Macaca mulatta: one gene and its partners. The protein of the gene in region 7 binds, or shares a complex with, the protein of the main gene of each other region. Links are inferred from orthologs where the notes say so. Each region holds a gene or a part of one and is shown on either strand. Other genes may lie near its edges.

Region 1 (3,500 bases), on a different chromosome or scaffold from region 7:
GGTGGGCATCTGTAATCCCAGTCCCTCAGGAGGCTGAGGCAGGAGAATTGCCTGAACCCGGGAGGGAGAGGTTGCAGTGAGCCAAGATTGCACCACCACACTCCAGCTGGGCAACAGCACTCTAGCCTGGAGGACAGAATGAGACCCCGTCTCAAAACAAAAAAACAAACAAACAAACAAAAAACTGCACCTTTTTGGGCTGCGTCTTCCCCTTTGTGAAAGGACAGCTTGATTATGTCAGGAGCACCCCACATGTGCTACCCTTCTCTGCTCCTGTGGCACTTTCCTCCGTGAAGCCTTAACTTAGCCTCAGAATCCTTCTCAAGGCAGCACTTCAAGATGCCATGTCAATCAACCAGGATTGGCATATAAAGTGAGATGAAGTTAGACGATCACAGAGATCTTATTGCTCAAACGCCCAATGATTCCGTCGGCCTAATGGTAAACCTCAGCTTCTATATGCTTCCCTTCTGAGGGTGTCAGTGTCCCCCACCAGTGGGACAGTGTCAACGGTCGCTCACCTACCTCTGTGAACTTGTCGGCCACCATGTAGCGGACGCGCCAGGACTTGTCTTCAGCGGCCTGGCGCAGAGTGGGCATCACCAGGGCCTCCAGATCCTCCTGGGGTAGGAGCTGAGCAATGTTCACGCACGCCTCCACCGCCAGCAGCCGCACCGAGTCCTGGGGAGAGGAGAGGAATGCAGGAGGGCAGCAGAGGCCTTGCTGAACTCTGAGATTCTCTTTCACGGGCAGGGACCAGCAGAAGGAGGTGAGAGCAGAGAGGTCCAGGGAGCAAAACTCACCTGCTCGTCAGAGGCCAGGTTGGAGAACATGGGGATGATCTCACTCTTGACGTTGTCCAGCTCCAGCACCTTGGCAAACTCCCCCAGCTTGGAGGCTGCGGCCCGCCGCACCATGGGGGTGTCATCTGAGCACAGGTTCCGGAAGTACCTGGGAGTCGGGGATGGGGATCATGAGGCAGCAGGCAGTACGGCAGAGAGGAGCAAGCACAGACTGCAGTTGTGTGGGTCCAGGATTTAGCTGAATGACCTTGGGCAAGTGATGACTCCGTCTGTCTTCCCAGCCCTATGAAAAGGCGCTGATAGTAACAGTAACTACCCCACAGGTCTGCATGAGGTTTCAATGAAATAATGTGTGTGGGACACTTCGCAGACTGCACATAATAAATCCAGTCAATGGTAAGTGCTGACAATTACATTATCATGACCATAAAAATTGCTTAACCAAGGGGCCTGGTACAGTGGCTCATACCTGTAATCTGAACACTCTGGAAGACCAAGGCAGGAGGATTGCTTGAGCCCAGGAGTTCAAGACCCGCCTGAGCAACATAGTGAGACCCCATCTCTAACAAAAATAAAAAATGAGCCCAGCGTGGTGGTGCACACCTGTGGTCCCAGCTATTTGAGAGGCTAAGGCAGGAGGAATGCTTGAGCCCAAGAGGTTGAGGCTGCAGTGGGCTATGATTCTATCAGTGCACTTCAGCCTGGATGACAGAGCAAGATCCTATCTCAAAAACAAACAAAAAACTGCTTAACTAAGAGGCTAGTCTAGAGCCACAGAAAGGCTTTATTTTACAGCAGCAATTGCTTCGGTCAAAGATGGTCAGGGCCAGTGTAAGTATCTAAGCATCTGTGCAGCCGTAAATCAGAGTTCTGGAGTGAGCCACGGCTCAAACCTGGGCATGATGGTCAACTGTTTGCAAAGTAGAGGAGCAGGAGGCTGAAAACTGAAGTGGTTTACCTGCCAAAGGCACCGGACCTGGGACAGGCTGGAGACACCATCAGATGTGATGTGCTGAAAGTTTTTATGTTCCAGATTTTGCTCTAAGCACTTTATATGTGATAATTCCTTTTTTTGTTAGACGGAGTTTCACTGGTGTCGCCCAGGTTGGAGTGCAACGGCATGATCTCGGCTCACCGCAAACTCTGCCTCCTGTGTTCAAGCGACTCTCCTGCCTTAGCCTCCCAAGTAGCTGGGACTACAGGAGTGCGCCACCATGCCCGGCTAATTTTTGTATGTTTAGTAGAGACAGGGTTTCACCATCTTGGTCAGGCTGGTCTCGAACTTCTGACCTCACGATCCACCCGCCTTGGCCTCCCAAAGTGCTGGGATTACAGGCGTGAACCATTGCATCCGGCCTATATGTGATAATTCTTTTAAATCCTCACATTAACCAGTGGGAAGGAGGACCTGTCATCATCTCAATTCCTAAGTGAGCAAGGGGGCAGAGGTGGTAAATTGACACGCGGCTGTGTCCAGAGACCAACTCTCAAGGATGTGGCCTACCACGTGGTAAGCAGGAGTGGGACTGGAGAGAGTTCAGGGGCGTGTGGGCCCTAGGCAGACCGAAAGGAGGCTGAGGCTTTAGAGAAGGGGACCGAGCTGAGGGGGGAGCTTGGAGCTTCCAAGGGGGGCAGAGACTCACTGTCGAAGTTCCGCCTTGACAGCACTGGACACTCGGGGGTAGCAGACGGAGAAGAGGCCGCAGGCCGAGGTGCGGGAGGTGAACCAGTCGCCGCCCGCCAGCCGCTTCACCAGCGGCACAAAGTGTGCCTCCAGGTCAGAGGGCGAGTGCTCGTGTGAGATGGCCCGTAAGGACTCCACTGCCTTGTCCCGCACCACTGTCTCCTCCACTGTGGCCAGCGACTCCAGGGGTGGCTGTCGTGAGAATATGAAGTCACTGGACAGCTCCCTCTCTACCATCCCTGGCCCTGGACCCCCATCCTGCAACCCCCTCATGGGCTCATCTCCTCAGAGAAACCTTCCCTATTACCCATCCCAGCCTTCATTAAAAGAGCATTTTAAAATGGTTGCAGTGAATGATTCAAAGGAAAAACGTAATATTATGCCAGCCAGCAGAAGGTCTCTGTCAGCGTGCCTTCCACAAAGGTTCTTACTTAGGGGTCCTTGAAGAAGTTTCACTGGGGTCCATGAATCTGAAAATTACACACATCACTTTCTGAGGAGAAAGTTCTTAGCCTCTCAAAGTGCAATGATCATCACTGACACTGCGTAGAACATCAGTTCACTGTGTGTACTAGGCAGGACCACCGTGTTGTACCAGGGGTGCTTGTTTTTCCTCACTGAATTCTATAAAGCAAGTCCTGATTTTAAAGAAGAGAAAACTGAGGTACGGACTGGCTTGCCCAAGCTAATAATAGCTACAGGTCAGGATCGAAAACCTGACCTGAGTTTCCCATGAACAGGTACAGTTGTGCTGTCTCATACAACTCTGGTGACTGAATTGGGATCTCATGTTTCTGGGGGACTATGGGGCTCGGGACGGCTCGCTGGTTGTTACTGTGGGCTTAGAATGACTGTGCTCCTTCAGATATATATGACTGGCTCTCCACTGTATCCCCAGAGCCCAGCAGCACTCTTAGCACAAGACAGGAACTCTTAATTAGCGACCTACTGAAGGGAGACTCAACTTATCCCAATATGTTCAAATAAAGGTACAGAGGTCTCTGGTTTGAAAT
Region 2 (4,288 bases), on a different chromosome or scaffold from region 7:
ACCCACACTCCCTCCCCAGTGCACCCACACTCCCTTCCCCAGTGCGCCTACTCCCTTCCCCAGTGCACCCACACTCCCTTCCCCAGTGCCCACACTCCCCCCCCAGTGCGCCCACTCCCTTCCCCAGTGCGCCCACTCCCTTCCCCAGTGCACCCACACTCCCTCCCCAGTGCGCCCACACTCCCTTCCCCAGTGTGCCTACTCCCTTCCCCAGTGCGCCCACACTCCCTCCCCAGTGCGCCCACTCCCTTCCCCAGTGCGCCCACACTCCCTTCCCCAGTGCCCACACTCCCTCCCCAGTACGTCTACTCCCTTCCCCAGTGCCCACACTCCCTTCCCCAGTGCGCCCACACTCCCTCCCCAGTGCCCACACTCCCTCCCCAGTGCACCCACACTCCCTCCCCAGTGCGCCCACACTCCCTTCCCCAGTGCGCCCACTCCCTTCCCAGTGCGCCCACTCCCTTCCCCAGTGCGCCCACACTCCCTTCCCCAGTGCGCCTACTCCCTTCCCCAGTGCCCACACTCCCTCCCCAGTACGTCTACTCCCTTCCCCAGTGCCCACACTCCCTTCCCCAGTGCGCCCACACTCCCTCCCCAGTGCGCCCACTCCCTTCCCCAGTGCACCCACACTCCCTCCCCAGTGCGCCCACACTCCCTCCCCAGTGCACCCACTCCCTTCCCCAGTGCACCCACTCCCTTCCCCAGTGCGCCCACTCCCTTCCCCAGTGCGCGCCCACTCCCTTCCCTGGGTCTGATCGCACCAAGAACCAACAGCACACAGTCACAGGGCACCTCAGAGCTCCAATTTCTCATCCCGTGACCCAAAGGAGCTATTTCTGCAGTTCTTAAAAATAAACTGGTGGCCGGGCACGGTGGCTCACGCCTGTAATCCCAGCACTTTGGGAGGCCACGGCAAGCAGATCACCTGAGGTCAGGAGTTTGAGACCAGCTTGACCAACATGGTGAAACTCCGTCTCTACTAAAAATACAAAATTAGCTGGGCGTGATGGCACACGCCTGTAATCCCAGCTACTCGTGAGGCCAAGACAGGAGAATGGCTTGTACCTGGGAGGCAGAGGTTGCAGTGAGCTGAGATTGCGCCATTGCACTCCAGCCTGGGCAACAAAAGTGAAACTCTGTCTCAAAAAAATAAAAAATAAAAATAAAATAAACTGGTGACAGATTTTTCTCCCAGCACCTTAGTCATGTAAGTTACCAGATACAGAAAGTCAAAAATCTGTTAGCTTAATTCAGCATCAGTCAGCAAGCCCCAGTCCCATCTGTGACCGCGCAGGTCCAGGCTGCCTGGCCCAAGAGCTGCACACGGTATTCCGGGTCTCTAGGCTGGTCCAGTTTCCTCCAAAGCAGCCCTGACTCCAGTTCCTGCCCCTATGCGGACAGACGCCCTTCCTGTTCCACTGCACACCCAGCTCTCAGGAATTCAGCACAGAGGAGTGAACAAGGAGGGCCACACATTTTAGCGGCGATTCCAACACCTTAGGCAGAGCCAAGGCATCAAGGAGAGCAAAACCGAACGCTAAGACGTAAAAAAACCCAGCAGCCAGAGTCAAAAAAATGGGGAGAGGTACACAGTGCAAGTCTCCAGGTCCCAGGCTGGCTGTCCCCACCCTCCTTCCCTGGCATGCCCTGTGGCAGCAGCAGCTGGTCCTCATTCCAGACTAAGGGCTCGCTGTAGTGGCTCCTTCCGAGGCTGTCCCACCAGACGCTTCAAAGTGGCTCCATAGTGGAACCGACTTCTTCAAAGAGGAATGACGAGCCTCCTGTTCGGGCAACCGCCCGTAGCAGGGGTTAAACGGTTCTGAACAGAGCAGCCTTTTCACCTTCCCCTGGGCCAAAGCACACACGCGTTCTCCGCTTTCCCTGCACACCGGCCGCTCAGATCGGCTTCTCCACGTTCCCAGCCCCTCAGCGCCCATCAGGGTCTCCTCTACGGCCCCCGCCCAGCCCAACACGGCCAGAACGGCCGGAACGACCCGTGGCCCGGGCTCAGGCCGCAGTGTGGCCCCTGACCTTCCACTGCCTTCAGATGCCGACACGAGGTTCCCGCCCCGCGCTGGGGGCAGCGTCCTGTCCCGGAGCCGGTGTCTCTTCACGCACCTCCGCCGCCCTCGCACAGGCGGAGCCACCCGGGGCTCGGTGTCAAGAGGTCTGCGAGCTCCTACCACGCAAAACGCCACAAGCACACGGCAGAGCCCGGGGGCCGCCCTGCGCCCACCTCAGGACGGCTCCGCTGGTCGCACGACGCGCGCTCCTTCCCTCACCCACCGCCCGCTCCGGCGAGGCGCCCCTCGGAGCCCCCGGGAAGCTCTGGCGCCCCTCGCTGAGAGGCCGCTAGTCTTCCTGAACTGCACCCTCCTCACCTGGTTGGCAAATCCCCGGAGGTGAGCCATGGCCGGGCCGCCTCAGACCCTCCGCCGACAGCCCCGAGAGGCGTCTGGATCCCGCGGAGAGGCGTGGAGCCGGCTCGCTCGCCCCTGCGGCGTCAGTCCACTGCGAGGGACAGCAGGAGCGGTCGGCGCCCAGTTCAGTCATCTGAGACCTAGCTCCGGGGCGGCGGGCTGGAGGGGGGCCCCAGGAGACCCCCAGGCCATCGGGGCCCCGCCACGCCCGGGCCTACAGCCCAGGCTCCCGGGGACTCGCCGCCCCTCCCGTCCCCGCCCCCACCTCTTCCGAGGCAGCTTCCTCCCGGTGCCCCCGCCCCGGAGTCCCCGCCACCGAGCCCCGCCCCGGGCCCCTCCCTCCGCCCCCTCCCCAATCGCCGCTAACGCGCGCCCGGCAGCGCGCCCACCTCCGCGGGGCTCCATCCCGGCCTCCCCCGGCCCGCTCTGCAGCGCCCGCGAAGGCTCCCACCCGCAGCCTCTGTTCGCCCGGGGACCCCGGGCCTCCCAGCCCGCGAAGCAACGGCGGTGGCGGCAGCGACAGGAGAAAGCCCGGAGGAGGCGACGGCGAGGGCGGTATTCGGCGTCGCGGCCCGCGCACGGCTCTCTGGGACCCCGAGTCCCACCGCCCATTCCGGGCCCGGAAGCCTGCTGGCGTTGGACTACAAGTCCCGGCAGGCCGCGAGAGAGGGGCGGGGCTCACATGCGCGCCGCGAGGCTCTCTGGGACCCCGAGTCCCACCGCCCATTCCGGGCCCGGAAGTCTGCTGGCGTTGCACTACAAGTCCCGGCAGGCCGCGAGAGAGGGGCGGGGCTCACATGCGCGCCGCGAGGCTCTCTGGGACCCCGAGTTCGGCTCCCGAAAGGCTTGGACTGCGTCTCCCAGCAGGGCGCGCGGCGGGGCAGGCGGGGCACGTGGTCGTTGTCGCGTCGCGTCTTCCGTGCCTCGCCCTCGCTGGCCTTCTGCGTCTGCTGGCGCCTGCAGGGCGTCGTCTCCGACGTGACGGCGGCCGCGCGGCGTTTCCCTTGGGCTCTGCCCTGCGCAGCCCTGGTCCGAGCTGGCCAGTAAGGCCCCGCGCCCTCCCCGCCTCGCCCCGAGGATCCACCGCGGCCGCCCAGGCTGTTGGCCTTGTCCTCACGGCTCGGAGATAAGCCGGCGCTGGTCACACCGCGAAACCCCTGTTCGCACCGAGACCCCGCTCGGGATCATGCGCACAGGCCAGGGCGCAGCAAGCCTTGGAGAAGCTACCTGCACAGCCCATTCCTTGCGCGAGCTTCGCATCTTCTGCCTCAGTTTCCTTACCTGTAAAGGGGTGATCATAGGACATCCTTGGTCACACCTTTGTGGGACCCACCTGGGCTAGAGCGCGGTACCCGCCCAGGACAGTGACTGCTGCTGGAAACCGTCGTGGCACTGGGGTCACCTCCCCAAGGTCAGGGAGGGACTTGCAGAGCCCAAGGCTACCTGGTGCACCCCCCTGCCCCGTGGGCCGCCAGGTCATAGTGCCCCCTGTGTGCATTCCCCTGGTGCACCGCAGGGATCCCCACCTGTCCGGTGAGGAAGATTTGTCTGTCCTCCACTCTGTGTCCACCCTTACAGGCCCTCAGTTTCCATGATGGCTCAGCACAGATGACTATCCTGACCACCTCACACCCCTCCTTCCTCAAGAGGGTTCTGGCGTTTCTCTTTGCTCCCTGGTGCGTGTTTTCTCATGGTGCGTTGCCAAGTCCTTTAAGAAGCCATGTTTCCCTGTCATGCATCCAGGACAGCCCCTTGAACCCCTGGGTCCCCATCTCATCACCCCTGCTTGTTGACATACTGACTTGGTTTTGTTTGTGCTTTGACTCCCCAGGAGGAAGTGGGCTTCCTGCAAGCAGAGCTGTGCCCAG
Region 3 (4,243 bases), on a different chromosome or scaffold from region 7:
CAAAAAACTTCATACCCTCAACATTTGGTGTAATATGGCAAAAATATTCATTACTACAATATTAAGAAATATCAACAATATGAGTTTGAGTAACAATTCAAAAGGAAGAATTTGAACTGGACCAAATCCTGGGTTTTCTTTCTTCACTCCAAGTTTCTTTTCTATTTTAAACTAGTGGCAACAGCAATTTCTTTGTTTGAAAGTCAGGAATGCTGGAAGTCTTAAGTGATAGAACAGGTAGCTGAGCTTCTACTCCACATCTCTCCTCAGAGGGAGAAAAAAATTGTGGAGAAAGCAATTTTGTTTTTATTTCTGGAAAAATCATTTTTCCCATCAATCTACATAATTCTCTAAAATAAACTGTTAAAAAGTTATAGGCTGGTCGGCCACCTCACCCTGATTTGTGGAAACACTATACAGTAATTTCAAGAACACATGGCTAACTCAAGTTTTCTAAAGGTCTAAAAGTTGCTCCTGACGCTTTCATAAAACTCTAGGAGAATTTTACAAGCTCACAATAGATTTCTGCATCTCATCCGCAATATTTTGCTACATAACAATAATAAAAATAGTCTAGGTTCAAGAGTCACACTGCATGCTATCAAATTTATTATTAAGGTATTGTACAATTTCAACTATGGAAAAAATTGTGTGCTGCACAAAGTGCTTAAGAACTATATTAGAAAGAAAATGGAAATAAGAAGTTAAGAATTTACCATTTCATTAAGATGAAGAGAATGACCAAAAAAAAAAAAAGATTCCTCTCTTCTTTGCTAACATTGAGATGTTTGCCCTACTCAAATTAGGTGGGACAAAGTAATCACAACTCAGAGGGCATAGAGTGAAAGGCAGAATTTGTAATTTAAAGTATGTGATTCACATTCGAATCCACATTAATTAAGATTTAAAAATTCAGGAGATAGGCAACTCAGATAATTAAAGCAGGGAGCAATCAGAAATACTGAACAGCAAGCAGTTCCTAAACCACATAAATTCAATAAGGTCAAGACAAAATAAAGATCAGAAACTATTTTCCCCTCAGCACACAGAGTTCCCCAGAATCACAAACTTGATGAACGCGAGGCACTCACTCTGCTGACGCACGCACGCAGGCTCGCGCACACAATGGAGCCAGAAGCATGGAGACCCTCACAGACAAACTTCACATGTGCATCGTTTTACTCTCCACAGAATGGAAAGAAGAGCACGGTGAGAAAATGTCACTTTTTCCCAGATCAAACAGCAAAACTGTACTAGTATTAAGAACTATGAATTCCCTTGATACAATCAAAGGCAGAACTGAATGAATGGGGTGTGGGGCAGGGTGCATGGGGAAAAGAGGGAGGGAAGGAGGGGGGAGGCCGCCTGAGAGGAAGAAAGTTTGAGGCATTTTGCAAGGCTTGAGTGGATTAATCTTTTCTTTTTTAAGCCCTACTATTTCCTATTTCCCTTTCTCTCTCTCTCTCTCTTTATTTAATATACACTAACTTCCTGAGACTCAACCCAGACTTGCCCTAAATGCAGCTGAAATGTCTGGTGTTTAGGACACACCAGGAGTTCTAGGTGCACAAATAATCCCTTTTTGGGAAAGAATTCAAAAATCACTTTTGTGGCCATTCATAAAATGAGAACACTGAAAAACAAACAAAAAAAGAACTCCATGCATCAACAAGTAAATTGAGGCCCCAGTCTACAACTCTTTGATTTCTACTAGAAATATAAGCTATTTACTACTAAACATTTTATTTTCGAATTTGAAAAAAGGTTGTTTTCACATTTTAGATCATGAGGGACTGAGGCTTTAGTGGTTTTAGCCTCTAAACTATTCATAAATGGGTTGTTTGGGCCATCTAGCAAAGGAAAAAAATAGAACATGAACGCTTTAAAAAGTTAGTAGATTTGGGTAACATTTAGCAGATAGCCTAAAGTGCACCGATTTAAAAACATAACAGCATAAAAAGTTTTCTGACATAGCTTACCTTTAATAAAATGAAAATATAATGGGAGGGGGTTGGGCTGGGTAGACTTCGAGTAACAAGTTGGGTTCCATGCAGTAGTCCCTTGTCCAAGACAAAAAGCTTCCTTTAACCACATGTAACAGTCATCTTGTGGGAAAGGCACAGAGGGGGCTGAGAAGTCATCACCTCAGCGACTCTGAACAGAACCAGCACTTCTCACGCCACACTATGGGCTGGCCTGGGTCGGGGAGCAAGCTACAACTTTGCCCTTAAGCAGCAGTACCGAAAGAGAGAAAGAGGTCACCTCTCTCTTAACCCTACGCACACAGGAAGAGCCCAATGCAAGCCGCCGCCGCCGCCACCCCTGGTCTTGCCCCGCCCCAACTTGAGTGTGTGTTTGGGGTGGGGGGTGTAGGTCACTCACTACTCGCGTTTTACCCCACAAATCCCAAGGCACTTCCATCTCTCCCAGGTTAAGTTCCGGCCCCCCATCCCCAACCGTGCCAAGCTCAGCAGGCGCAGGTGTCTGTGGCTCTGGCCTATTTTTATACCCCCAACCGCCCTCAATCCCCACCTAGTTGCGCGCCTCAGTCCCGCCTCGCCTTCCCAGCGAAGAGCACTACTTAGCCTACACACCAGGAAACACCTCGAGCCCTACTCCCAGGTCACCTGGCCAGAGTGACCGGCCCTGCCCTCAGGGGAGCCCTGGGGCCGACCCTTGTCGCCGGTGCCCAGCACCGAGAGCGCACCGGGCTCCCAAGTAGTCACGTGGGCGGCGGGGGCGGCCTGCGCTTCCTCACCTGCATCCCAGGCACTTGGACAGCCACCGGTGAGTGGGCCATGGAGGCAACTGCTGCCTCGCTCCGCTTCTGCGGCGGTGGCGCCTTGGGTTCGGACTGGCTCCTCCTCCGGGGGTAGTTCGGCGGCCCTCCCAGGCTTTTCGATCGGGGCCTGGAAGGACACACAAAAGTGGGGTTACTGGGCTGGCGGCGCGTAGCCCGGGGCTAGGAGGTGGGCTGTTCGCGGCGCAGCTGCCCGGGACTCAGTCTACCTTTCTGGCGCCCGCCCGCCGCTGAAGCAGCCGCCTCCGCTGCTGCTCCTCTTCCTGAACGCCGAGCGCTGTGAGTGGTGGTGGCTGGGACCTGGGCTCGAGTGATGCCGCTCCTCTGCGCCTCGCCGCTTTAGGAAGAGGAGGTGGAGGCGCCCCAGCCACCCGCCTGCTCGCCTGGCCGGGGAGGCGGTTGGGGGCGGTTCCGCCGTTGGCCCTGCCCCCGCCCCGCAGTCGGGCGGTGTCGCGGGAGCCGAGGCTCCAGGCAACGAAGGGGTTTGGCTGGGGTTGCTGGAGTCTGAGAAGCTGGAGACTCTCCCGGCACGCGAAGAGGAGAACCCGGGGACCGGGAGACCTGGAACACGGCTGCGCCTGGGAAGAGAATGGAAGAGTTTGGGAAACCCTGAGGGTATGAGGGCGCCCCAGATGCGGCCACGTTGCAGGGAGGCGTGCGAGGCTGGGGCACATGCAGCCTCGGAGACGACTTGAGTTGAAACTTGGGGAGTGTTGCAAGTCTTTCTTGGCTCCCCGGCCTGGCCAAGGGTAGGATCACAGATAGCCGCGGAGTCGGTGGACCCCCGCCTTTTCCCGCCATCTGGTCTCCTCAGTTGGGAGTCGCGCTTCTTGGCAGATCCGTGGCCACACTCTTGCTTTCCGAGTTCCCTGACCCCTGACATGCTTCAGGTGACTTCAACTTAAGATTCCCCCTACCTCTTGGGCTATCACTTGCAGAACTGCCAAACTGGGGCTTCTCTCTACCATAAGTTCTGCACGTGTAAGGCAAAGGGAAATTGGAAAACAGACGGTATGTCGGCAGAAAAATTAATGAGGATAGTAGAGGTTTGGGAAATGAGATTGGATCGTTAGCAGTACAGGTTATTGAATTCAGCATACACTGCAGTGGTTTTGGTAACTCCCTGCCTCCGCCCCATTTTAAGTTCCACTTCAGGAGGGAGACGGGCTGTTTTGAGAGTACTCTAACAGTAGCGACAGTAAGACTGGTAATAATAGCAACAGGAATTTCATTATGAAGGCACCTTTGGGAACACGTAAGGGGTTAATTACTTTTTAAAAACGGAATAGTCAAGTGCCACTTTTAAATGAAGATGAAGTTCCTTACCTTGAAATTTGTTATGGGTCTCTACGCACCACATTGTGGGGGGCCTCTAGTGGTAAACGGTAGTTTCTCTTCTTCCTTTTAAATCTTTTTCAGAGAATAGTATATGATTCTTATCAA
Region 4 (4,264 bases), on a different chromosome or scaffold from region 7:
CCTCGCCAAACAGGTTGTCTTGGATAAAGAAGGATTTTCAGTCCTGCTATTGGCTGATGGGACCTCCAGTGCCTTCTTCAGCCTGTTGGTGGGGATGACGCCCTCAGAGTGGCAGGTTGAGCACTCTCCTCCCAAGCATCGCTGAGCACTTGGGTGTGGAAGGGTTGCCTGATACTGAGGGTGGGGCGCCTGGAAGATAGGCGATCAGGTTCAGCTCTTGCCTTGCCCTTTATGGTTAAATGTTCTTTGGAAAGCTTCTATATCTCTCAAATCCTGGGGGCATTATGATCTTTCTTCTGCCTATCCTAAACCATCTTCAGCCAGTACTGTTGGGAGAATACAAGCTCCAGGGCAGGGTCCCTGGTCCGTCTGGATGACCCCTCTGGTTCTGGCACATAGCTGGCGTTCTATGGAACCAGGTATTTATCTAAAAGCAGGGACAGTGGAATGTGAAAACGTTTTGCAAACTCCAAAGCGATTCATAACCAGACAGAGGTCCAATCCTAGGGTATACGAGCTCTCTTTTAAGCACGGATCACAGCTGCTTCTAACGCCACCGAGACGCGGTCAGGACAGGTGCATCCATCTTCTCTGGGCTTCCCCTCTTAAAAGTAGGCCAGGGCGCGCAGCGGTTGAGGGTTTCTCATTCCCAGGGGGGAATCAAACTTGGAGGAAAGCAACCACGGGCGAGGAGCTGGGCGCGTGGAAGCGAGCCGCGGTCCGAGGCTCAAAGAAAAGCCCAAACCTCGCCCCCGCCATCGCGCCGGACGAGACACCTAAGTCCGGGGACAGGTATGTGCCGGGGAAGTCAGGTGCACTGCACGGCACTCCCCCGGTAGGTACACGCTCCTCCACCTACGAGTGACCTAATTACAAGGTGCCAGCCGCGCCCAGAGGTGGAGGTGGTTAATCCAAGCGGCCACTCGCTGCCCGTTCCTGCCCCCAAAGATGAGGGAAACCCACACGTTTACAGCGCCGCTGCACCCCGGATGAGCCATGGGGTCGCAATTCTCGTTTCCGTGATCGGGCTGCCAGGCCCCAGGTGAGGAGCTGAGTTCATCACCAGAGCAGCCTTCCCATGGGAACCAGTTCCAGGCCGTCAGTAGCCCCGGTTTCCACCCGGTCTGCGCCTGCGCGCGGTCCAAGTCCTCTCCTCTCAGGGTTTAGCGCTAAGGGATTAGTCCAGTTCGCCGCTGTGCGCACTGCGCATGCTCCAGCTCCATCCTTCCCTTCCCCCACCACCCCGCCCTCCGGGAGCCACGCCCAAAAAGTCAAGGCGCCTCAGTTACCAACCGGCTACGTCGCGCCTGCGCTTTGACCCCCAGTTTGCGCCCCAACTCCGGTTGTGCGGCCGCCCGGGGTGGGCTCTGCAGTTGCGCAGCTTGCTCCCCGGCCCTCTTCCCCTCCGCTCCCCGCCGCCTCCTGACGCCGGGCGTGACGTCACCACGCCCGGCGGCCGCCATTACAGAGAGCCGAGCTCTGGAGCCTCAGCGAGCGGAGGAGGAGGCGCAGCGGCCGACGGCCGAGTACTGCGGTGAGAGCCAGCGGGCCAGCGCCAGCCTCAAAAGCCGCCAGAAGTACAGGAGGAACCGGCGGCGGCGTGTGCGTGTGGCCCGTGTGCGGGCGGCGGCGCGGGAGCAGCGCGGAGCGGCAGCCGGCTGGGGCGGGTGGCATCATGGACGAGAAGGTGTTCACCAAGGAGCTGGACCAGTGGATCGAGCAGCTGAACGAGTGCAAGCAGCTGTCCGAGTCCCAGGTCAAGAGCCTCTGCGAGAAGGTGAGCTGTACTACGGCTGCGGACAGCTGCCGCGGGGCCAAGCCCGCCAAGGAAAAGGCGGCCGTGAGGAGGGTGCAACATGGCGGAGGCCTCCGGCCCGGGTCCCCCGAGCCTCCGAGACCGGCGCCCATCCCGGCCGGCGGCGGCTTCCGAGCGACCCGGCGCCCCCTGCCTCCCGCGCAGGGATTGGTTGTCGCCGCCACCGCCGCCTAAAATGGCGCCGTTCACCCGACTCCTGGGTTTTTGAGTCTCCCGGCCTTGGCGCCAGACGAGGTGGCAGGGGGAGCGGAGACCCTGTGGGTCAGCGTCGTGGACGGTTTTGAGGGTGAGCTGGCTTGGATTCTGCGGCTTGGGAATGGAGCCTGGGCCTCTACGGTGGGCTGAGTAAGAGTCTTTCCGCTTGTACCCAGGCCTAGTTAGGTCCAAAGCTGCCCAGAGGATCCCCACAGGCAGTCTTGTTAGACCATATCCCAGAACATATCTAAAGGTCACACAAGTTTAGTACCCCTTGGTGGCTTGTATTAAACTCACTAAGCGATCTTCTCCAGAAACCAAAGGGGTGTCTTTAAGAATTTAAAAATTATTCTCTTAACCTAATTTCTGCGAAGGTCATGGTGGTAGGTATAAGATAGGAGTTTAACTTATTTTTCATAGTTGGAAGAAATCGGGAATTTGGTGAGTCATACTACATAAGGAGCTTTTGGATTGGCAATCAAGTGTCACTTGAATCTATGATTTATATGCTGACTCAAAGCCTTCTCTAAGCTTAACACACTTGGCATTTTGCCATTTATTTTTAAAATGAACAACATAAAATGGAAGAGCGGTAAATTTTGTATCTTTGTTGCAAAAGTTACTTCATAGTATTTTGTGACTGCTGGTAGTAGTAGTAATAACTGTCGACTGAGATTGTATTCCAGACATTGTGCTTAGTGTTTAAATAATGTCTCACACTGAAAATAGAATGTTGTAGTCCACTTAACCCTAAACTTTATATTAGCTAATTCCGTTTTGTTTTCCCCTAGGGATTGGGGAAACAGGTAGCTAATTTAACTATTAGCTGTGTGTTGTATTTTTAAATTCTTGTAACTCAGTTTTCTAAAGTACACAAAATGCTGATCTCTGCTGTGAACATTTTAGCTTCCCTTTTCAAAATTAACTTTGCAGCATGTCGCTTTAGTACGGAATGGTGGAGTATCATATTAGCATTTTGTATTCGTGAAAAGAATCAATGGAAAACTATTACCCTGATCTGTTTGTGGTTTGATGTGAAAATTAGGTTCATGAGTTTGATGTATATGTTTTCAAGACAGGCTTTTTTAGAAGCCATGTTGTGAACAATTGGAATTTAAGTAAGTCAAATTTAGATTTATTTCTCCCAAGCCTGAACAAAACTACTACTAGTGGATGAGGTGGTACATCATTTGTTGGAGATGGCTTTTAATGGTAGCGATGTATTAAATCTCCTGTTTCTTTACCCTCTCACATCAAATGAGGTTGGTGTTTATTTTGAAGGTTTAAAATTGGCCTTTCAAAATGAATGTATATTGCCAGGTCTTAATTTCTAGGTACTATACATATGCCGATTTTTGGAACTCAGTGCATTATATGACTTTTAAGTCAATAGTTGGCCAGTTGACTAGTCTTTTGAAGAAAACATGGAAAGGAGGGAGGTAATGACGTAACTGAAAGACTGGACTGCGAGTTAGATTTGGACATGAATCCTTCCGCTCCTACTTGAGTAATTGGGAGAGACTTTGGGACAACCACTTAACTTGGTCCTTGTTTTCCTGTCTATAAATTAAAATGTGTTCTGAGATTATACAGTCAATTCCGTTTTAAATTAGTGTGTTTAATATTGAACACCTATTGAATATCCAAGATTGCATACTCTCTTGAGGGAAATGAAAAGCAATGAAGAATAAGTATGCTTACTGTCAAGGAGTTATAAATCTAGTTGGAAAGAAAAGCGTGGTATGAAAAGGTGTGGGAGATGGAGCATGGAAGTAGAGGGTTTGTGCTGGAAACTGTTGTAGAAGATAAGATATATCATACTGGATGCTAAAGTGGGGTGAGTGAAGCTAGTGCATCTAATATTGCTTTCCACATCTTTGTAAAACTAAGATGTAGTGAGGTGAATCTCCATTGCTTGCTCTGCTTACGCAAATTTTAGTTCTGAGTGCCAAAAAAGATGGAAATAATATTTGAGAGTAGGTGTTTTATATAAAAGTTTCCATGGAATGGATCCGTTTTGGTGGATGTCATTACACAACCTTCATACTGTTTATAACTGGTATTTCAACTTTGAGGATGATATTAAACTTCCAAACTAAATTAATTTGAAGACAGTTTTTTTGAGTATGTGGAATCCATGAACTGATATTTTTTGTACAAGTCTTTCTAATAAAACAAAAGCTGTCTTTCACTGTTAATGTTTGTGTGCCAATGGCATCTGTGGGTAAAAGCTACGTATGTGCTCTTTGGTGT
Region 5 (4,184 bases), on a different chromosome or scaffold from region 7:
GGAGGCCGAGGCAGGTGGATCTCTGGCGGCCGGGAGTTCAAAACCAGCCTGACCAACGTGGCAAAACCCCCATCTCTACTAAAAATACAAAAATCAGCCAGGCGTGGTGGTGCACACCTGTAATCCCAGCTACTTGGGAGGCTGAGGCAGGAGAATTGCTTGCAACTGGGAGGCAGTGGTTGCAATGAGCCGAGATCATGCCACTGCACTCCAGCCTGGGTGACAGAGTGAGACTGTCTCAAAAGAAAAAAAAAAAGGTCCACAGACAAGCCCTTCTGCCCATCTGCTGGGATCCTCGATAAATCACCCTCTCAAAACTTCCATTTCCTCGTGATTTTTTTTTAAAGGCAGGGGGAATATCCTTTACCCTTCCAGAAGGCCATAAGAATGAAATGACAGCTCGTATCTACAGTACTTGATACACAGCCCCAGACATGGTATGTGCTCACTAAATTGCAGCTGGTGCCGTTATTGCTGAGTGAGGTAATGACACTGCCTCTGCCTACATCACGGGGCACTGAGAAGATCTGATGAGATGTATGCTGGGAAAGAGCTTCGGAAGTAGAGAGTGGGACACAAGTGAGAGCAGTTACATAAGGATTCTGCTCCCACCCCAGCTCCAAGCCTCAGCCACCACAAGTGAGGGCAGGGGGAGAGTTACTTGAGGTCTTTACTCATCCTACGAACAAAATACCGTTTTTGTTGTTGTTGTTTTCTGAGATAGGATCTCACTCTTTCGCCCAGGCTGGAGTGCAGTGGTGCAATCACGGCTCACTGCAGCCTCAACCTCCGGGGTTCAAGCAATCCTCCCACCTCAGCCTCCTGAGTAGCCGGGACTACAGGTGCACATCACCACGCCCGGCTAATTTTTGTACTTTTTTGTAGAGATGAGGTCTTGCTATGTTGGCCAGGCTGGCCTGGAACTCCTGGGCTCAAGGGATCCTCCCACCTCAGCCTCCCTAAGTGCTGGGATTACAGGCATGAACCACCGCACCCCACCCCTACCGACAAAATTCTCATCAGTTATTTATTTGGGTGCCAGCTTCCACTAGATAGAAAACGGCAAATCGGAAGGGGAAACGTGGGCTGCTACAAGGAATACTAGCAGAAAAGTACTGACAATTTCTGCTAATAATAACCCAGTCCAAGAATCTTCAGACCTCCAGTGGGCCATTCCTAATCCCTTCAAATCCGGACATCTCCATGATCCTCCAGTCACTGCCAATGGACCTGATGCTCCACGAGGTCACAAACCCCAGCCCAACTCTTCAGACTCTTCCATACATCAGCCCGGAGCACATCCCTGTCCCAAGCTACCCCACAAACCATGGGGTCTTTTCCCAGGACTTCCACAAACATATCTCCTTCCCCCCAACCCCACCCTACCCCCGTTCTCTCTGAGATGCCTCCTCATGTTGCCTTCGGGCTCTACAAAATTCTCCCCCTTAAAGCATCACCCCAGGGTAACACCTAACTCGTCCTCATTGGCACCATCCCAGGACCCTCACCTCCATACTGGACATGCCCGACACCCCCACACTCCAGTTCAGGGTTCTCTTCCTACATCCTACACACACGTCCCATCTCAGTGCCATCGCGCCCACTCCTGCACACCCCCAAGTGGAATTTCCACTCTCAAGTTCTCCCACCCAGGCTCCTAGGGTACATCTCCTGCTCTGTCCACACTTCCACTCCAAAGATCCCTTCCCTGCACTCTGCAGCCACACATGCCCGGGATCCCCAAAGTTTCCCCTAAGAGGGAAAGGCACACACCTTCATCCTGGACCCCTCGAAACTCTCTTCCCACCTCTCGGGTCCTTACACAGCCACCCTTCCGTGCCCACTGTCCAGTCGCCCCGAAACACACCCATCTCAGGCTCCCGGACTTCCTCTCCCTAACTCCTCCCGGTTCCCGGTCTGGATCCGCTCTTTCCCAGCGTGTCCCAAGTCCCCCCTCGGACGCTTCTACTTCCCACCTGCACCTGGCTAGGGCCGGGGTCGGGGGTCCCTCTGCGCCCGCCGAGCTTCTGCTCACTCCCACAGGAGACCACTGAGGTCTTTCCCAGACCCCTCCAGCTCCTCTCCACACCCTTTCCCGAGTTCTCTTGGGCTCCCCTCCAGGGCCCGAGTCGCCTCTCTCAGGAGCCCCGCGGCCGGCGCGCTCAGTTCCAGTCCCAGTCCCACTCCCAGCCAGTTCTGGTACCTCGGCCCCTCTCTCTCGGCCGGTCCCGGTGATCCCTCCCACTCCCGGTCCCTCCACTCCCACCTCGGGCCGTCCCGGTCCCCTCCCACCCGGGGTGCCCTCAGGACACCCCTCGGACGGCCCCTCACTCGCCCTCCGGGACCGTCGCGGTCCCCTCCCGCCCCCCCCCGGCCGTCCCGGCGGCCATTGCTCCAAGATGGCGGCGGCGGCGGCGGCGGGTGAGGCCGGGCCGGGCCGGGCCGGGTGGGGTTGGGGGGTCGGGGGTCCCGGGACGGCGCTCACCTGTAACTCGGCGCGCTCGGCCTCCCAGCGGGCTTTCTCGGCTTCAAAGCGCGCCCACTCGTGCTGGATAAAGTGCAGGATCCCCGGCAGGCTCAGGGGCTCCGGGCCCGCCGTGGGCCCAGGGCTGCCTCCGCCGCCGCCTCCCTTACCTGCCGGGCCCGGCCCGGGGGCAGGGGCGGAGACCGGGGCCGCCCCAGTGGGGCCAGGGCCCGCGCCTGAGCCGAGCGGACGGCAGGAGGAGGCGGCGGCGGCGACCGCGGCGGCCGCTCGCTCCTCCATCATGGAGGCCCCGGGGCCGGCCCGCGCGCCCGCTGTGCTTCGCGCGCCTGCGCGGGCGCTCCAACACCCCCCCCCCCCGCACCACACACACCACCACCGCGCGCGCGCCTGACGGAGGACAGTGGGAAGAGGGGCTGGTGGCGAGCGCGAGGCCGGGCACGAGCCTCGCCCACCCGGGTCGACCCCGAGGGCTAGCGTGCCCGCGCGGGGGGCGGCGAGAGGGAGATCGCGCCCCGAGGAGGGCGAGGGAGACCCAGACCCCGCACGACGGTCCCCCTCGCTGGAGTGAGACTGAGGAAGGGGCCACTTTCTGCCCCCCTCCTCCTACTCCGCCCCAGAAAAAGAGCCTTACCCCTTCCACACCCAAACATCACTCTCCTGGACAATTACTTTTACTCTGAGAGAAAGGGCGACCAGCAGTGGCCCCATCCTCTCTGATTCCTGTCCAGGTCGGTTGTCATGGTAACCTTTCCCCATTGGTGGGGGCGAGTTGGTGGGGGACAGCCTTCCCCTCCCTTCCACCTTTGTGGTTATGGAGCCCCAAACCTCTTCGGACTCTGCACCAGGAGAAGGTTGCTAAGGTAACCTAAGTCCCTGGTGGTCCTTCTGCTCCTTTCCTCATTGGTTACTATGGCAACCCCCCACACCTAGCATTCAGGTAGAAAGTACCCCAGCCCCAAAGACGCTGATCTCTAAGAGAAGCACGTCTTCCCCAGCCCCTCCCCCATAGCCACCTAGTTGGCATTACCATGGTAACCGTCTTCCCCTTCCCATTGTGGGAGGCCCATGCACCAAACCAACCAGGTGTTTTTATTTAGAGGAGGAGATGCTCTGCTGAGGGGCAGTTGCTATGGTTACAGGGCCTGGACCATCCTCTGGGGGACGAGAAACAGGCAAGGTCAAGGCCTGGTTACTATGGTAATAGAGAAGCCCCCTTCGAGTGACCCTAGGAACCAAGCCCAACCAAGGAGGGGAATTTTTTTTTTTTTTTTTTTTTTGGAGACGGAGTTTCACTCTTGTTGCCCAGGCTGGGATGCAATGGCCCGATCTCGGCTCACCACAACCCCTGCCTCCCTGGTTCAAGCCGTTCTCCTGCCTCAGCCTCCCGAGTAGCTGGGATTACAGGCATGTGCCACCACGCCTGGCTAATTTTTTTTTTTAGTAGAGACGGGGTTTCTCCATGTTGGTCAGGCTGGTCTTGAACTCCCGACCTCAGGTGATCAGCCTTAGGCCCGCCTCAGCCTCCCAAAGTACTGGAATTACAGGTGTGAGCCATCACCCCTGGCCAGGGGATGTTTTAAGAATCTCTGAGAGGTGGAGTGTGTCTAGGGAGGGGGTTGTCATGGTAACAGCTTCTGTTGGCTTCTAGCCCTACCTTTTCTGGACACATTCATGCTAGAGGGATGGTTATAGGTTGCTG
Region 6 (3,500 bases), on a different chromosome or scaffold from region 7:
ATAACACCCATGTCCAGTCCCTTGGGGATTTTCCAGAGATGCCCCGCCTCCTCCCTCACAGAGACGAGACCATCGCGAGGTGATTCCCGCACCTCCCTGGTGTGCCAGCGTGTGCGTGCCCACTCTCCTCCTCCTCCTGGAGGACACCTCCCCCGCCTCCCTGGGAGCCCATCTCTGGGCCATCAGCTTCTCTCTGCTGGGCTCCTCCTCTCACCAGGAAAGCAGATGTCCCTGTGTTGGGTGTGGTGGCTCGTGCCTGTCATTCCAACACTTCGGCCTCACCTCGGCCGTCTCTCAGCCCCGGTTCCAGGATCCACACTCACTGCCTCTATTTGGTACCCTCCACTCGCTCCAAAGCCCGCCGGTGTCCCTCCGAGCACTCCCTCCCCCATCATGAGATGTGTGCTGACTCCCTGTCCTGCGTGGGCCTCAGAGGCAATGAGCCCTTGGCCCTGCTCATCATCCTGACGCCTGTGGCCCCACTGAGCCTGCACCTCCTCCCGCCCCTCGGCCACACCTCTCCCCTCTCATTCACAGGCGGAGCCTCACCCTCACGCCGGCTTCCCTAGGGGCCGGCCTCACTCCCCCACACGCCCCGACTGACACCCTTTGTTCTCTTGGCTCCAGTGACCTCCACAGAGCAGTGGCCCCTAAGCCCACTTCACCTGCCCAGCTTTCTCACCTGAACGCCACACCTCGGTGCCACTTCACACAGGACGTCTCCTCCTGGACAACTCAGACTCATACATGGTCCACCCCACACTCGGCTTCCTGCACCACACATCACAACGCCTGTGGCCACGCTGCCCAAGCCTGGAACGTGGGCTTCCCTCCTTCACCCAAATCCACCGCCACGTCCTGGCTCTCAAACCTCTCTCCAGTCTCTCTATCTTGTCATCCCTGTCGCTACCCCGGCAATCTCCCAATGGCAGTGCCTCAGGAACTTCCGAGGGCAGTGGTCTCAAACTTGGCTTTAAACTGCCATCACCTAGAGACACTGAAAACCCACTTAGGGTGTCACCCCCGGAAATCCTCATTCATCTGGCCTGGCGCATGGACCTGCACTGTGGGCCAAGTTTGACTGCTGCCAAGGCATGCACGAGAACAGACGAGCCCAGGCTTGGACTTCCAGACACAAGCCTACCCGACCGCCTTCCCCAGCCCTCGCCACACAAATGGCTCCAGCCCCGCTTCGCCTCTTCAGCCAAGGGAATTCCTAGATGCCGAACTTGACAGCAGTTCTCAGAAAGTCACCGCTGGTACAGAAGCTTCTACCAGACACAACAGAGAATCACAAACACGTGCATTTCTGGCCTTTCAGACATCCATGAAAAGCAGTTTCACCTGATCATGATTTTAAGAACAGAAAGTGTAATGGAAAACAAAACAGAGCAGAACCGAACGAAACAAAACAGAATCAAACAGCCAGGTCCAGTTCCCTACGCACAGCTCTGCCACAGAGTTCACTCGTAGAACTTCCACCAGCAACATCCAGAGGCTCAGCTCCCCAACAGGCCCAGGATGTGGCTAACACAGCAACCGCCACCAGCCTGGATTGTCTAAAAAAAACTCAACAGAAAACGAAACCCACACCAAACAAGTGACAAAGACCAGTGGGTCCCTCCCACACACACGCTCGGGTCGCTCAGGGGCCAACTTACGCGTCTGAATCCTCGGAGCTCGAGTCGTCGTGGCTCTGCTCGGCCTTCCATCTCTTGTACCTGTCAATGAGCTCGGTCAGGTAGGAAGTTTTCTTTGCATTGCGTAGTATAAACTTGTGCTTCAGTAACTCCTTAGCAGTGGGTCTCTGGAAAAACACACACAACAACAAAATATGAGATGAAGCTCTTGATCCCACCCCAAAGGACAGACTTCTGCCTCAAAATGTCAACCCGCCACACTGACACCTGATGGCTGCGATTCTACTCCGCACCTCTTCTCACTGTGACTCACCCAAAGACGAGGCGCTCAGGACCTATGCCTGGGCTCCAGGTACCATGGTGGGCAGGGCAGTGACTTTCTAAGGAGGTCCCTAATAAATGCATTTCCACAGAAACCTCTGCACAGAGCTTCACAGGGATCATTTAAGAGACCTTATCTCCTAGCTTATGAAATACTTTATGGCAAATAGCTGACAGAATGTATGTTCTATGTCGCTTTAACTTTTTTTGAGATGGAGTTTTGCTCGTTGCCCAGGCTGGAGTGCAGTGGCGCGATCTCAGCTCACTACAACCTCACCTCCCCAGTTCAAGCGATTCTCCTACCTCAGTCTCCTGGGTAGCTAGGATTACAGGCCTGAGCCACTATACCCAATTTTTTAACGTTTGGCCACATCCAACCATATAATAGAAACGTCAATTTGGAATTCTCTCAAAGAAACCGGAAAGGAGCCAGGAGATGCCCTTTCTCCTGTCTGCTGAAAGAGCAGCTGGGCGCTCTGCATCACCAACTTTCCCAGTTGAGAAGGGCTGTTTCCCAGGTCCCTCCCTTCCCTTGTGATTGGGCTGAAGACTTCACCCATGCCCTGGGCTCAGCACCTGGTCAGCTGCCTGCCTTGAGGATGGCGACAGTGACAGGGAATGTGCTTCCCAAGGAAACCAGCACAGCCCAAATTGGAATAGACACCAGGAACACCCAAATACCGAGTCGAACCGAATTCCCACTCACTCCAAATTACAAAAGCTTGACTACAAAAGCCAAGCACGTTTTCAGATTCAAACTCATGAGAAACCTGGATCACCCTTGAGTATTCTCCCTCCCCGTCCACCCAAGGGTGAAACCCCAGCTACCCCGGAGGTGCTCGTAGTCTCGCCTCTCAGCCAGCTCCTCGGTAGCTGTGGGGTGGAGCTCTGTGTGCTGGAGCATAAGCCCATACTAGACACATGCTTTGTAAGGGAAGACATGCCTGCACGTATCTCCACCAGTGCTGGTGCATGGTGGCTGCAACAAACATCATCTTGTAATAAAATGCAGAGCATCGTGGCATGCAGGACAAGCCCCACTACCACAAGATGCTGATGTAGTCATCAAATGCTGGTGTGGTGGTCTCAGCCTGCATCTCCCCAGAGGTGCTTAGAAAATGTTGCATTCCTCATGTAATTCTTTTACCAAAACTGGCATATTAGGCAACCATGGTGCTCTTGTAAAAGTAACCACTTTTTTTTTTTTTTTTTTTTTTTTTGAGACGGAGTCTCGCTTTGTCGCCCAGGCTGGAGTGCAGTGGCCGGATCTCAGCTCACTGCAAGCTCCGCCTCCCGGGTTTACGCCATTCTCCTGCCTCAGCCTCCCGAGTAGCTGGGACTACAGGCGCCTGCCACCTCGCCTGGCTAGTTTTTTGTATTTTTAGTAGAGACGGGGTTTCACCATATTAGCCAGGATGGTCTTGATCTCCTGACCTCGTGATCCGTTTTTACACAAGAGTTAAGAAAAGGGGGGCTCAGTTTGGCCTTCAGCTAACTCTGCTGGAAAACTCCGAAACAAAACAAGGACATATGGTGCTA
Region 7 (3,500 bases):
CCTGAGTTTTGAGCTAAAAAGAGCAAAGCAGAAAGCCCTGAAGGGGGAAGGGAGTACTGGTGGGCAGAGAGGAGGAGATCTCTTTGGAGACAATCTCTGTAAGTGTTAACAAGGTGAGTGGGGACTAGAGAGAGCCTGCAGACAAGACAGCTAGTATCCAGCAGCTGCCCCCGTTGAAGCACTCACGGCATCTCCTCAGGTAGGACATCTGCCAGGATATTGATAGAGTCTGTCTTAGCCTTGGAGGTGGGAGCTGCAGCCAGCAGAATCTTAAGCAGAGCGATCTGGGAAGTAGAAATAAAGAAATTCACCACTGTCAAATCCACTCAGCAAGGGAGTGATTCTTCTGCACCCTAACTGCCCTATAAAAAGTGTTTTAAAGCCATTCTCCAAGTTCTTCCCTCAATGACCATATCTCCCCAGCGTCCAGAAGAGCAAACAGGTGCCCAGTCCTGAGAGGCCTGCCTGTGAGGCTAAGGAGAAAGCCAGAGGGAGCGCATTGGCTGTTCTGCTTTAAGACTGTTCTTTCCAGGGCCTGGCATGGTGGCTGATGCCTGTAATCCCAGCACTTTTGGAGGCCAAGACAGGCAGATCACTTGAGGTCGAAAGTTCAAGATCAGCCTGGCCAACATGGTAAAACCCCGTCTCTACTAAAAATACAAAAATTAGCTGGTGTGGTGGCGCATGCCTGTAATCCCAGCTATTCGGGAGGCTAAGGCAGGAGAATCACTTGAACCTGGGAGGTGGAGGTTGCAGTGGGCCGAGATCGCACCACTGCACTCCAGTCTGGGCGACAGAGTGAGACTCCACTTAAAAAAAAAAAAGACTGTTCTTTTCAAAGGGGAGGATGGAAGGAACAGAGTGAGAGGGACAGTGTGTAGAAATAAGGTGGGAGGCATAAGCCCAACTTCTCCCACTCTTTTCTTTCCTCTAACCCGAACCATTGGTATCTTCCCCACTCCCAGCCTGAGGCTATCTAGTACATGACAGACCACAGCAGATCTCAGAGGGACTACAGTACTTATCTCGGAGGAGGGTGGGTCCCCAGTGTATCCTGTAGAGACCCCAACTTATTCCCCACCCTTCCCAAAGAAGGACTAGGGAGAACAGCACCATCAGAGGAGCACTGAGGAAAGCTCAGAATTTTCACGTGTCAGAGAATGCCTTGCCAAAGGCACAAAGGCTCAGAAAACAAGTTCAAGTGTTGGACAGGTCCGCTTGAAATGGTTTTTAGCTGTCTGTTCCTTGTAGCAGAGAAGGGCAGCTCTGGCCTAACCATCTCCTTACCATATACTGAGGGAGGCTGTACAGCATTCCCTGGTAGAGGATTTCACATGGCGTCTCTGGTACCACCTCTTCCCCCTATGGCAAGAAATACATGGTTTGCCAATGCCACTTTCCAGGTGACCAAAGGCTTTATTTTCTTGGTTGTAAGGGGTGACCTGAAAAGAGCACTAAGCTGGGAGTCAGATCTAGGTTTCTGCCCTAGCTGTGTTAATGACTCACTGTATGACCTTGGATAAGTCACATTCCTTCTCTGAGTCCTAGTTTTCTCTTCAATAGGACCATCAGGTTGGCCTGGATGACCTCTCAGGACCTGGGAAACTGGAACAGATGCTACAGAAGCACTTCCTATAGTGTTGATCTGAGGCTGAGAACTCTAGAACATTCTGTAAGCCTGGAAGGAGAGGTAGGTGGCTCAATAGTGAGGGTTTAAAAGGAAGTTGGGTAACATATGGCCTGGTGAAACAGGAAGGAATATCAGCAAAGAAGCTTTTAAGTGGATGGAAATGATTTTCTTCCCCTCTCCATTCACCCCTACATCACTTTCTCCTTTCTGACCAGCCCCCTCATATATAACTATCTCTGTCCTATTGATGACATTAACTAAGCCTTTTATCAGAGTGAGGAGGCTGGGGCCTCAGGGACCCAATAGGCTGCTCAGGCCACTGTCATCTTTGACCAATGCAGTTTCCTTCCTCCTACAAGGTCTCTCTATTACAGGGCAAGGGTTCACTACCATGAGACCCTGAGCCAGGGAAGAATAACCAGCCTCCTTCTGTCCCACACAACTCATCTGCTGCTTAAATGGATGTAAGTCCTAAATGGACATTCAGCGGAGCCTGGCAATCCTGGCATGTTTGCCTTCCTGCTCTCCAAAAGGCCGATTTCAAACCATCTTCCCTCTCCTCAAACCAACTCCTTTGCCCACCATGCCTAAACAGTTGCTGATCCTGCCTCACGCTTCATGGAGAAAACAGAAGCACTCAGACAGGCACACACTCATCTTCTCAACACTACATCTACAAAGAGTCTTATTCCTTCCTTCTTAACATGAAGGATGAACCGCCTGTGCTCGAACAAAGGCCAGTCTCCTACTTGTGCTCAGGATCCCACACCCATTTGCTTTGTTGAATGCCTCAGTCCTGCAATTATCCCCTCTTGGATCATTTATTTTAGGACAAAAAAAAATGTTCTAGTATCTCTCAGCTATAAAACATCCTCCCCTTGACCTCACATTCTCCTTCAGCTACCATCCACTTTCTCTCCTCTTCACAAAACTTTTATATCATCTACCTCCTTTTTTGACATTCCCTTCAATACATACCAATTAGGCTTTCAGTCCCACTACTTCACTTACAGTTGCTCTTATCAAGGTCATTATCTTCATGTTGCCAAATCCAATGGGCACCTTGGTTCTTACCATAATGCCACTTATTAGTAGCATTTTACCCAGCAGATCACTCCTTTTTTCTTGAAAGACTTTCTTAGCTTTTATGATATCATAATCTCCTGGATTTCCAGCCACTTCACTGTCTTTCGTACTCTTCTGGCTCCTTTCCTGACACATGCCCACCTCAACATACTGGTGTGCCCCAGGACTTTGTCCTGCCTTCCATTCTCTTCTGTCTCTACTCCCTCCCTGGGTTATCTCAGTCAGTTCTATGGCCTTTAACACTGCCTATAAGTGTTACAAACAACTTCCGAATTTATTTCTCAAAGTCAGCCCTCTCCCTAGAATTTTAGACTTGTATTTCCAATTGCCTGCAGCTCCACATGGGTATCTAATGGGCATCTAAAACTTAGTATGACCAAAACAGAACTCTTGATATTCCCCCCACATCCTGGCAAATGGTACTTATTCTTGATTCCTTTCTTTGCCTCTCTAACCACATCTAAATGCACTGCAAGTCTTGTCAGCTACATCTCTAAATCCAGGTCGGCATCATCTCTCACCTTGACTACTTCAAGGGTTTCCTAACTAATCTCCCTGGAGTGGGTCTACACTTTTCTGGTCCAATCTTTACACAGAAGCTGATGTTTTTAGAAACATAAATCAGATCATATCACTCCCCTGCTTAAAATCTCCAAAGGCTTCCTTCCCTTTGACTGTGAGTCTACTTCAAGCTCTCTACTTTTGCTTACAGGCTCTTGGCAAAGTGGCCTTAGGCCACCTCTCTGACTCTATCTGTAGGATCCCGGCCCTCGGCCCTGTGTTC

The links.
Region 1: STRIP2 (region 7) and PPP2R1A share a complex: the UniProt entries of both Homo sapiens proteins name them as parts of the core of STRIPAK complex. The link is inferred for Macaca mulatta from reciprocal best matches to the Homo sapiens genes STRIP2 and PPP2R1A.
Region 2: STRIP2 (region 7) and STK25 share a complex: the UniProt entries of both Homo sapiens proteins name them as parts of the core of STRIPAK complex. The link is inferred for Macaca mulatta from reciprocal best matches to the Homo sapiens genes STRIP2 and STK25.
Region 3: STRIP2 (region 7) and STK26 share a complex: the UniProt entries of both Homo sapiens proteins name them as parts of the core of STRIPAK complex. The link is inferred for Macaca mulatta from reciprocal best matches to the Homo sapiens genes STRIP2 and STK26.
Region 4: STRIP2 (region 7) and PPP2CA share a complex: the UniProt entries of both Homo sapiens proteins name them as parts of the core of STRIPAK complex. The link is inferred for Macaca mulatta from reciprocal best matches to the Homo sapiens genes STRIP2 and PPP2CA.
Region 5: STRIP2 (region 7) and STRN4 share a complex: the UniProt entries of both Homo sapiens proteins name them as parts of the core of STRIPAK complex. The link is inferred for Macaca mulatta from reciprocal best matches to the Homo sapiens genes STRIP2 and STRN4.
Region 6: STRIP2 (region 7) and STK24 share a complex: the UniProt entries of both Homo sapiens proteins name them as parts of the core of STRIPAK complex. The link is inferred for Macaca mulatta from reciprocal best matches to the Homo sapiens genes STRIP2 and STK24.

Annotation. Positions count from the first base shown.
Region 1 is NC_133424.1:64,406,338-64,409,837, reverse strand, and holds part of PPP2R1A (serine/threonine-protein phosphatase 2A 65 kDa regulatory subunit A alpha isoform), read right to left. Parts: exon of another isoform or gene 2,824-3,500; intron 2,680-2,823; coding exon 2,447-2,679; intron 1,816-2,446; exon of another isoform or gene 1,800-1,815; intron 952-1,799; coding exon 804-951; intron 682-803; coding exon 526-681; intron 1-525. UniProt on the Homo sapiens protein: The PR65 subunit of protein phosphatase 2A serves as a scaffolding molecule to coordinate the assembly of the catalytic subunit and a variable regulatory B subunit.
Region 2 is NC_133417.1:146,800,741-146,805,028, forward strand, and holds the start of STK25 (serine/threonine-protein kinase 25), read right to left. Parts: upstream 2,801-4,288; intron 2,745-2,800; coding exon of another isoform or gene 2,412-2,744; coding exon 2,382-2,411; exon of another isoform or gene 2,032-2,381; intron 1-2,031. Other genes in the region: uncharacterized protein LOC106992798, read left to right, coding at 2,410-2,744, 2,801-3,467. UniProt on the Homo sapiens protein: Oxidant stress-activated serine/threonine kinase that may play a role in the response to environmental stress.
Region 3 is NC_133426.1:138,491,849-138,496,091, reverse strand, and holds the start of STK26 (serine/threonine-protein kinase 26), read right to left. Parts: upstream 2,801-4,243; coding exon 2,759-2,800; intron 1-2,758. UniProt on the Homo sapiens protein: Serine/threonine-protein kinase that acts as a mediator of cell growth. Modulates apoptosis. In association with STK24 negatively regulates Golgi reorientation in polarized cell migration upon RHO activation.
Region 4 is NC_133411.1:143,126,130-143,130,393, reverse strand, and holds the start of PPP2CA (serine/threonine-protein phosphatase 2A catalytic subunit alpha isoform), read left to right. Parts: upstream 1-1,464; 5' UTR 1,465-1,675; coding exon 1,676-1,777; intron 1,778-1,969; exon of another isoform or gene 1,970-2,102; intron 2,103-4,264. UniProt on the Homo sapiens protein: Catalytic subunit of protein phosphatase 2A (PP2A), a serine/threonine phosphatase involved in the regulation of a wide variety of enzymes, signal transduction pathways, and cellular events.
Region 5 is NC_133424.1:59,223,516-59,227,699, forward strand, and holds the start of STRN4 (striatin-4), read right to left. Parts: upstream 2,801-4,184; 5' UTR 2,768-2,800; coding exon 2,486-2,767; intron 2,422-2,485; exon of another isoform or gene 2,330-2,421; intron 1-2,329. UniProt on the Homo sapiens protein: Calmodulin-binding scaffolding protein which is the center of the striatin-interacting phosphatase and kinase (STRIPAK) complexes.
Region 6 is NC_133422.1:93,164,386-93,167,885, forward strand, and holds part of STK24 (serine/threonine-protein kinase 24), read right to left. Parts: intron 1,808-3,500; coding exon 1,662-1,807; intron 1-1,661. UniProt on the Homo sapiens protein: Serine/threonine-protein kinase that acts on both serine and threonine residues and promotes apoptosis in response to stress stimuli and caspase activation.
Region 7 is NC_133408.1:169,105,831-169,109,330, reverse strand, and holds part of STRIP2 (striatin-interacting protein 2), read right to left. Parts: intron 1,363-3,500; coding exon 1,288-1,362; intron 285-1,287; coding exon 187-284; intron 1-186. UniProt on the Homo sapiens protein: Plays a role in the regulation of cell morphology and cytoskeletal organization. Required in the control of cell shape. Calmodulin-binding scaffolding protein which is the center of the striatin-interacting phosphatase and kinase (STRIPAK) complexes.